2 linked regions of the Drosophila melanogaster genome follow. The protein of the gene in region 2 purifies or fractionates together with the protein of the main gene of each other region. This does not show direct contact. Each region holds a gene or a part of one and is shown on either strand. Other genes may lie near its edges.

Region 1 (4,873 bases), on a different chromosome or scaffold from region 2:
TCATTTACCTCCGGCTGCACGTTGCTTGGCCATTGTGAAAGGATTCAATTGTCCTTCCGGCAGAGCGATCCCCGATCCCCGAAACCCCGTTCCCGGTCCTGCCAGCAATGCGACGATCCAACGCCGCTCGACAAAGTCACAAAAGTGAATTTTTGCTTTTTAACTTTTCGAATTTCGGGGCGGGAGAGAAAGGATATCAAAACTGGGGCGGCCATTGCACTGCGTCCCTCAGGTTCCCAAATTAATGCCGACTTTGGTCTGTTCATGCAGAAAAACTATGCTAATTTTCCACGGTTTCTTCTGCGATCTAATATTTCTTTGTTCCAGTATTTGCATAATTCATTTGTGATTAACTGGGTTGCCCTGTGCGGTTGCTTTGTCGTCTCTAAGGATGCGAAAAGCCTCACGAAATGGCCATAAAAAGAATGATAATTCCGTGTGTAATCTCATGATTCCATGTTTGGCATAACACTTTCAGCTGCTTACAAAAGTTGCGCAAATAACTAGGACCTACTTCTTGTTTAGTTTAGATATATTTTTTCTAAGCATAGCTTTTGAAAACCAAAAGACCTTTCAAATAATGTGAATACTACGTTTTTTCATTTAATTAATGAAATATATTTTTTCAAGTTTAAAACTTCCGATAGTCCAAATCCAAGTTCTGAAACTGTCAGTTCCATTTCTTCCAAAATATTGCATCCACCCAAAAAGACCCATTAATGTTCATTTCGAAAACCTTTAGGTTTATTTTGAATAATTATTTTTCCAAATCCTAAAGCTAATAATATGCGCTTAAAACTAAAGTGTTTAAAACTACGATTGACGTATTTAACAGGCAAAGTTGAAACTTTTGCGAATGCAATTTGAAACACATCTGGATGGTCTGAGAGACTTTAGCTAAGATTACTTCGAGTTCTGTTTAGGTAAGGTATTAAGGTGAGTGTTGTGTACGTATTTTAAGGCTCGACTCCTGGATATGAGAAATCGTTGATTTCACTGATCGAGTATTGTCCAAAGCGCTTCTTCCGAGATTATCACAGTTCCCAGCACTTGGAAGGCACTTCGAGTGCGGCGATTAGTCTAGGCTCTACATACTTTTCAGATCTTGCGCTGACTGTACATGTCGGAGATGAGGCGCACAATGGTGATGTCGCCGATGGTCTTTCGGAAGAACAGCTCCTCGATGGTGAAGCTTGAGACCTTGTGCATCAGCTGCACCACGCCCAAGAGCGTCTGGAATCGCATGGGCTGCGAGGGATGGGTCCTCTGGATGTAGTTGTGCAGCGCACTCCGGGCATCGTTGTGCATGGCCGCCACTTTTCCCGACTCCAGAAGACCCCTGGATTCAGCAGAGGCCGAGGAGTTCGGGCTGCCGCTTCCTGTCAGGATTGAGCTGTTGGCTAAATCCTCGGTAGAACTTGCCGACGGTGGTGACTTACGGAAGAGCGAAATAGCCCTCAGACACTCGTACTCGGTGCTGTCAATGTTCAGATGGCACAGTTGGTTCAGCACCTCCTGGAAGGCGTGCACCTCGCGGGTCACCATGCCCATGATCTCCCGGTTGGCATTCTCGGACTCGTAGACGAACAGCAGCTGGGCGAAATTCATGGGCATTAGGTACTGGGCCATGGCCAGGATGAAGAACTCCTTCCAGGACTCCTCCAGCAGGAGCAGCTGATCCGGCATGGGCAGTTCGGTGAAGGCCCGTACGCTCTTGATCCAGTTGACGTTCTTGAATAGGTGTTCCGCCGCGGTTTCCTTGATGTGCTCAGCTGCCATCAGCGGAGGAGTGGGGGGCAGGGCCCGAGTGGCCAGGGCATTCATGTAGGCGGCGGTGGGCGAGAAGAAACCGTGGTGTCCTTGGTGCACCGGGTGATGGGGCACTCGTGGCACGGATAAGTCCAAGACAGCGGCAGCCGATGGTGGCGGCTGGAAGGCAGCCATGTGAGCAGGATGATGACCAGCCCTCTGGGGCAGGCCAGGCATGGGCATCGGTACTCCAGGAAAGCCGGTCAAGGCAGCCGTGTTCATCAGAATTTCGGCGGGTATTTGTGGCATCTCGCCGGCGCCCATCATGGCATCCTTGTACATGGCCATGTGGCGACGCAGAGTGGAGTTCCGCGGTCCCCGCTCGTGCTGCACTGCATCCTTGTTCATTCCGACCTCAAAGCACTTCCTCAGTCGGCAAGCCCTACATTGGTTCCTGTGCGTCTTGTCCACCACACAGAGTCCCTGCTTCTGCGACTTGCACACATACTGCCGGGATCTCCGAATGCTCCTCTTGAAGAATCCGGCGCAGCCATCACAGGCGTAGATGCCGTAATGCTTGCCGGAGCTGTGATCTCTGCAGACTTTGCAGGGCACATGGTATAGAATGCGACCTGGAAATTCAAGAAGGGGGGAAAGTTGGTATAAGTAAAGGATTGTCTTAATTTTATATATTAGGAAGATTGTTTTCTTCTTTTTTCATTGCTATCTGATTTTTTTTTTTGCTATACTTACTCGATGCCGCTGGCGAAAGACGCACGCTGTTGTATTTCTGATCCATCATGTCTGGTGAACCCTCCGACGACTGCATACCGATGTGGGGCGTAATTTTGGCGATTTTTGTAGAAACGCTTGCACAAATTGAATTTCACTTGGCACTGGTGTATCTTTGAGTCGTTTTGGATTTTTGTTTTAACGGTTTGGGTGGACGGCGGTATTGCGGATTGTGTGATATATTCGATATATCCTTGGTTACTCCGATGTGGACTCGCTGAGATCACGATGGGTTGTGTTGTCTGCTGTGAGGACCGCCGGCGTTTTAATAGTCCTGCAGACCAAATCCATTCATCGAGCAGTCGATCACCCTTAGGTAGACAAACTCCGCGTTCATTGGTCGAAACTCGGGAGAGGGTTGCTTCTAATGCCCTCTCTCGCATATCCTCTCTCACTCTCCCCTGGAGAATCCTTCGATCCTGCGGCAGGCTGCCATTGCGAAAAATTCATTGAGCAAGGAACGCAGCAGCCGTCGCTCATTCTCATTCTCAATTCTTTCGGTTTTTATGGCCCTTTTCCGCAGGATTCACTACCTGCTCTCTCACGCGAACTCCTCGTCCGTCTGCTACCCTCTCTCGCAGCAGAGAATCTCTGCCCGTCCTGCGACAGTTGTTAATGAAGAGATATCCTTCCATATCCATGGCCGAGTATTTTATGGCGCTGCCATTATTGCCGCTTTGTGATTTGTGTGAAGTACCTGTGGGTTCGCTTCTAGTCCTGCGAGGCGAGTCCTTTTCGAGTGGCGATAGTAGCAGCAGGGGTTGAATACCACGCACTATTGATTGTTTTCCATTCAGTAATTAGGTTTTTATGATGCAACCATATAAATGTTTAGGGAAATGATAAATCTAAAGACTTTGATAGATATCAGATTGTACAGATTTCTTGAGCTTATCAATTTTACACAAATCTGAGTATGAATTTTGTATCGTAATTTTTAAAAAATGTACTCAACATTTTTTAATTAAGAAAGTGCATTATAATGTTGAGCATCTAAACAAATTCTTCGATTCCCCCATAAAATTAAATTTTGGAATAACTTCTGCTAACCAAATACAACGTATTTCCTATATAAAATATATGCACTGATTAAAATAAAAAACAAATATTTGCATTTCTTAGCCAGCTTTGGCAACTTTTTAGGTTCAATCTAAAAATACTTTATGAAAATTATTGCGGAGCTCAGATTGCGTTTTTAATAATAATTTTTATAAATGCTTAATAAATAAAATTATTTTAAAGTAAACCCAAAACGGAGTTGTTAAAATCAAAGGTTCATGTTACTAAAATGGGAGCTAGCCATTTGAGATAGTAGCTCCCGCGGCTGAGCCAGATTAGGCGTTGCCTTTTGAGAGCCTTTAGGATTCAAGTGGACAGTGCCTCTAATCTCGCTTGGTCCTGCCAAGTCCCGAAGGACCCACCGATTCCTCGACTTAAGCTCGCCGCTTAAGCAGATTACGGATTTTAGATCGCGGGAGTGGTACTGCCTGGAAAAGGCACGCTGGTCGGGAGGCTGCTAGATCAAGCTTTTCTGTCTTCGGGATCAGCGAATTCAAAAGAAAGACATTGTGCGAGGTCCCAGCATCGGGCGAGTACTTAATAATGTTAAGCAAGATCCTGTAAGTCTGGTGCGATTACGCACCAACGCCTAAGGCCATGTGATCCTGATCCAGGACCTCGAACGTGGGAACAGCTCTCTGCTCGAACGGACTCGAATGCAGAAGGGCGGAGATGCAAATGCAATTCATTTGATATACGATAGACACTTGAAAAGAGCAATTATATTTCGATTCGTATTACGGATGCGTAACTTGATCAATAAAATGCTTGACATGATATCAACAACAGTCGCCAGGGGTTGCAATGTCCAGGGGTTCTAATTGGACTAGTCAACCCCTGGATGATGCTGAATCGGAGGGGGTGGTTAATTGGAACTCAGGTGTGCTGCATGGGAATTCGCTTGCGTGTGTTGCTATTCCGATCATTAGCTGGACTTCCATGGGGGGAGGATGCTCTACTAAACCAGATGACGATGACATATCAATTTTTGACATTCCCTTGACCGTTCATTGAGTTTGAAGTAATTATAATTGTGGGAACTCGTGAATATGCAGATGAGGAGGCTGCATCTGTTCGATCTTCCCACGTTGTATGAGTATGTTCACAACTAAGCGAAAATTTAGTCATTGCTTTTAACATAACAACTAATATGTGGTAATAGTCAATTCGCATAGTTCTTTAAACAGTTTCCAAGGGCCAATACATTTAAAATTACTATTTAATTAATTTGGAATTTTAGAGATAACATTTCTTGATTGTGGCAATAAAGCAA
Region 2 (5,083 bases):
TATCTATGCATTTATGACTAAACAGTTGTTTAAATAAACACTTTTGGCATGTTTACCCGAAATGCGTCTGCAATGTTTACTTAATTAAATCGAGAAATGAGCAAACAAAACGAAACGAGAAACGCAAACAACAACCCTATCTACAACTATATAAACTTAAATTTAAATAAACTTAAGATAAGGCAACGGAGATTTTGCTTCCGGAATTAGAAGCGAATTTAAATTTGCACAGATAAGCAGTATAATCAAGTAGAAATGCTCGTTAAGGAAATGTATTTTGTATGGGTTTTAATTTATGACCAAATGGATAGGTGGGCAGTGAAAGATTAGCATAGTATTAGTTTATAACCAGTAGGTTTTAAGTAATATTTTTTATAAAACTAAATATTTTCACTTAAGAAACATCATATTTTTAAGAAAGGGAAATAAGTGAAATGTAACTTTTCCATTTGGAAAAAGAGCACCATACACCCGATATTCATTTTCATAATTCGAGTAAATGCAAAACACGCCCAGTGACGCCCCCCTCCCTTCCTTACCCAATCAATGCCCCAACCCCACCTGCACCCCCACCCCCGCTCCACTGTTTTGTTTATCGCTCATCGTTCGGCTGCGCGCTGTTTGCCATTCGGTTCGCTTGACGCGTCGCCGCAGGCTTCATTAGGTGAGCGTGATTCCGATTCGCATTTCCATTTCGACAACGATTCCCATGCCCCCCGCTGCACCCTTTCTCATCGCTCTTCTTGATGACCCGCGAATTCCGCTTGTCTTCCCACATTACGCTTGCAAAACGAAATTCCATTCCATTGGTGCCGAACAAAAACCCAAATTAAATCCACTTCAATAAATCTCAAAAAGGTAACAAACAAAATACAAAAAAAAAAAATAAATAATAAAAAAACCAAGCACACCAACCGGCCTGTCAATTTTCTAATCGCTCGAAATAACAAGAAAAAACTCCATTTAATTACAAATCGGCTTAGATTGAAACGCCTTAATTGGCATTAACTCGATGAAAAAAAAAAAATGTGTACACGAATACTTGTGCGGTAATTAATCAAACTGGAAATCAATTTAGGCTCATGCCCTCTCGTTCCCTCTCTTCTTTGCTCTCCTTCTGACTCAATAGGTATCTGTGCTGTGCGAGCAAGAGAGAAAGTGTGGAGTATCTTAGAGATGTGTAAACTTAAACAATAGAGATTTTATTGCAGCTAAATGTTGGCTCTTTGTTTATTAACTCTATTACAATTGTAAATTAAATTAATTAGATAGTCTAAATTCGATAATAATTACTGTAACTTACCTTTTTATAAATCCAAAATAGTCGCAATTTCTGCTCTGAATATGCGCGTTCCCGATTTATAGACAGCATCCAAAAGATGAAGAGAAGGCTCGGGGGTCGGGTGGCAATGAGCAGTGGGTGGCGATGGGCAGGTGATGATTCCTTTGCTTCCTGGCTTGCTCGCACCCACAGTGAGCGACTATCGTGAGGGGGGTTTGGGGAGAGAGTGAGAGAGCACGCGAGAGGGCGTAATAATCCACAAAAGAAACTCCCAAACTCCCAGCTCCCGGAGCTAACGGAAGGTGAAATGCAAATCCGCAAAATTTTCCTAGCAGCGCAATCTCAGGAATTATTTTCCATTTATGTAAGAGCGAGAAAGAGAGAGAGAGTCAAACTTGGCTTTTCTTTCTGCTTTTCACTGCTTCTGCTGGATTCTATTGCTGCTGCTTCTTTTTTCTGCTTGTTTTTCACTTCTTTGACACTTTTTGCATTTGCTTCTCTTTTCTATTTTTCTTTTTTTTGCGACAAATGTATGAACTTTTTTATGAGGTTAGTTGTTGTTTTTTTCTTTATTTCTCTACAAATACACGAAAAAACGGCACTTTGAGTAAGGCGAGGGAGGGAGACGACGAGAGAGGGAGCGCGTGTCCAAGCTCTGTTGCCTTTGCCTTCTCTCCGCCTGTACATATGTATTTGGCAGAACAGAAGCTGCTCCACCGCACACATACACGTGTACATGCATAGCAAGAGAGGCGGTGAACAGAGCTTGGGGCATAGAAAAAAAATACACGGGGGAGTTGTTGCACGACAGAGATACGGCAAGCGAGGGGAGAAGTGGACACGAAGAGAGACTATACGACCGACGGACTGACGCGACGCGACTTCACCTTGCACACGCGCGGAAATTGGCGAGAGCGACAAAGCGACGACGGGTTCGTCGTTTGTCGGCGTTCTTTTACCGCAATGTTTGTGCGAAACATAAAAAAGCTTTGCACATACACAGCGGCTGGCAGTGCGAGCGAGAAAGAAAGAGACAGAGAGGGAGAGCGCAATACACACACACACACACACAAGCACATGCAGTGGCTGTATAGTAATTTTATTCCGGTACTATTCAACTGATGAAGCTTCTGTTGCTGTTGTTGTTATTGGCAGCAACATATTGCCAGTGCCACACTCTCATTTTGGTTCGTCTCCTTTTCCTTTCTTTTTTTACTACTACTTTTTAGTAGTTTTCTTTTCCTTTTTTTTTGGCGATGATGATTACGCTGCTCTTTTAACACACAGAGATACACATACAAACGCACGCACAAGTCAGGCCCAAGTGGGTAATTTGTTTTATGAGTAGCGGCAAATAGCACTTGTGTATGATTGTCGCTCTCCTCCTTCTTCTCGTTGCTGTTGTTACTCTTCTCTTTTCATTTTTTTTTTCTGTTGTGAATGACAGACAGCTACGAGTAATAATTTTTAATGCGTTTTTGGCATTTCTACGTTGCTTTGGGTTAATTGCTTGAAACGCGACGAAACACTAAATCACGCACACACAGATACGCGGTACGACCAGAGAGCGAGAGGCCAACAACACTTATTATTTTGTTGTCGAGTTGAATTACATTAAATGCACATGAGGAAATCACACTGGGGAACAGCTTTGCTTACTTCTTTTCCACAGATTTTAGTCCTTCTTGCTTGTTGTTTTTGGGATGTTGTTTTTCTTAATTAAAGATAGAACCTGATCCGCTCAGTGTTTTTTATGTTTTTGTTTGGCGACAGCGTTTTATCCGTGCTGTCCGAACGAACCGAAGGAGCAACGCGTACAAAAGCGCATAAATTGAGAGGCGAGAGTTGGCTAGCAACGCGCAGGGTTGTCGGCTATATGGGGAAAAATAACAAATACATTTCGGTAATTATATGGTTCCGAAAGAATTCTTGTTTTTAGTCGAATGCTTCTCTGATATAGTTATCGCGATTTCAAACTCTTAAAAGCAATAAAGTTACAATTTACTAATAAAAAGATTATTTACTTGTTAATATTCTCAGCCACTTGACAACCCTGCGGCATTTTCTACACACACATCCACTGCTTACATCGCACACACTGGCATTCCCATGCACATACACAAACGGTCTCTGAGCGGCATTTCTTTAATGGCGGCTTTTTCGCTCTTGCTCGTGCGCTCTTAGTGCCCTCTCCCGCTCTCTTGCTCTGCCGACGCCATATTGCGCAGTTATGTATGTTCATCCCTTTCCAATTTGTTTACAGTGCCGTCGTGTGGTCTCTCACTTGTCCGCTGTTGTTGTTTGTGTTATTGCGTTTGTTGCTCTTGTTATTGCTATGCCTCTGCAAATTGTTTTTGGTGGGGTCCTGAGGATTGATTACTGATTGGCATGTCGTTCGCCTATAGTCAGTTGCCTTTTGTTGTAGTTGTTCTTCCTTTCCGTTTGCTCCTTCTTATTGTCTTTCACCTTCTCACCACACGCACGCTGGCAGGCACACGCACACACCTCACCACCACCTCCACCATCTCCTCGACCAAAGACCATTTCCTCCTTGTTTTTTTTTTTTTCGTTGGTGGGCTGGCGGTTGGGGGAGTAGCATATAATGACATAATGAGATTTATTAGGCGCAAAATAAAGCCATAATGTTCCATTTGACCTTTGTGTAACTTTGACAGTGGTAATTCTCGCCTTCCTGTGCCACCTTATTATTATTATGATGATGGGCAAGAAATATCCTTGCTGTATATACATACATACATATGTATACATTTACATATATAGGGTGCATTGCAGAACATGAGCATTTTCAATTCGTCGTCAGCATTTTGAAAGTTGCCTTTAGCAGTCGCCGATGCAAAAGGCAAATAAGTTCCACTCAGCCCAAGTTTCAGATCAGGAGCGCTTAGGTTAAGCTGGTACAAGCCTATTTGTTTAAATATTTGTATATTTGAGCACTGTATTACATTTGTCTTTTTTTTTTTTTTTTTTTTTTTTTTTTCGATGATGTTTTTATTATTTGATCAACGCACTGTTACCCATGCGGCAACTTAATTTGATCTGCTTAAATTATTTTATTTTACAATGTGTCTTGGTTACTTAAGACTAACAGATTTTTAATCCTAAAAATGATAGGGAGAATTATAATAGTTGATATAACATAGTAATTATTATTTATTTGATTATTCTAATGAATTTTAAAACTAAGACTTTCTAGGTCAAAACCAGGTTAGGGAGGTCATGAGGGTGGTGTCGCTTGAGTCTTCTTTTGACTCTAGTCCGAGGGTCAGCATTGACCACAGCTGCAGTTCCTAGCTTCCTTGCTAGGCTGTTGGGGTGTACATTAAGCCTTTCCATATATTTTTGGGCGATGTTCTGGAGCTTGTCTCCTAATTTGGGCACCTTGAGGTCGCGTTCGATGTCTCTTGTTCTCATATACCAAGGAGCCCCCGAAATTCTTCTTAAGGTCTTCGCCTGTAAGATCCGGATCTTATTAAGGTGACTCTTCGCAGCAATGCCGTATACCTGCAGGCCGTAGAACAGGCAGGGGGCCAATATGGACTTGTAAATATTGACCTTGCAGCCAAGCGACAGTTTGTTGCGTGGTGCAATGAGCCAAGACATCCGAGCAACCTTGGTCCTGAACGCTTGCTGAATATTTGTGATGTGCCTGCTGAAGGTGAGCTTCCTATCGAGGGTAATACCAAGGTATTTATAAGCCTGATGGTGTCTGATCAGTCTCCCATTCAGACTGACACCCGGACAGCTACCTGTTCGGTTGGCGAACGTCACATTGGCACACTT

Evidence for each region.
Region 1: the proteins of sbb (region 2) and tll purify together in Drosophila melanogaster (affinity purification with western blotting; one study listed by BioGRID). This does not show direct contact.

What each region holds. Positions count from the first base shown.
Region 1 is NT_033777.3:30,850,252-30,855,124, reverse strand, and holds tll (tailless), read right to left. Parts: upstream 2,811-4,873; 5' UTR 2,579-2,810; coding exon 2,503-2,578; intron 2,382-2,502; coding exon 1,099-2,381; 3' UTR 725-1,098; downstream 1-724.
Region 2 is NT_033778.4:18,354,197-18,359,279, forward strand, and holds the start of sbb (scribbler), read right to left. Parts: upstream 3,101-5,083; 5' UTR 2,942-3,100; exon of another isoform or gene 1,860-2,941; 5' UTR 1,304-1,859; intron 1-1,303.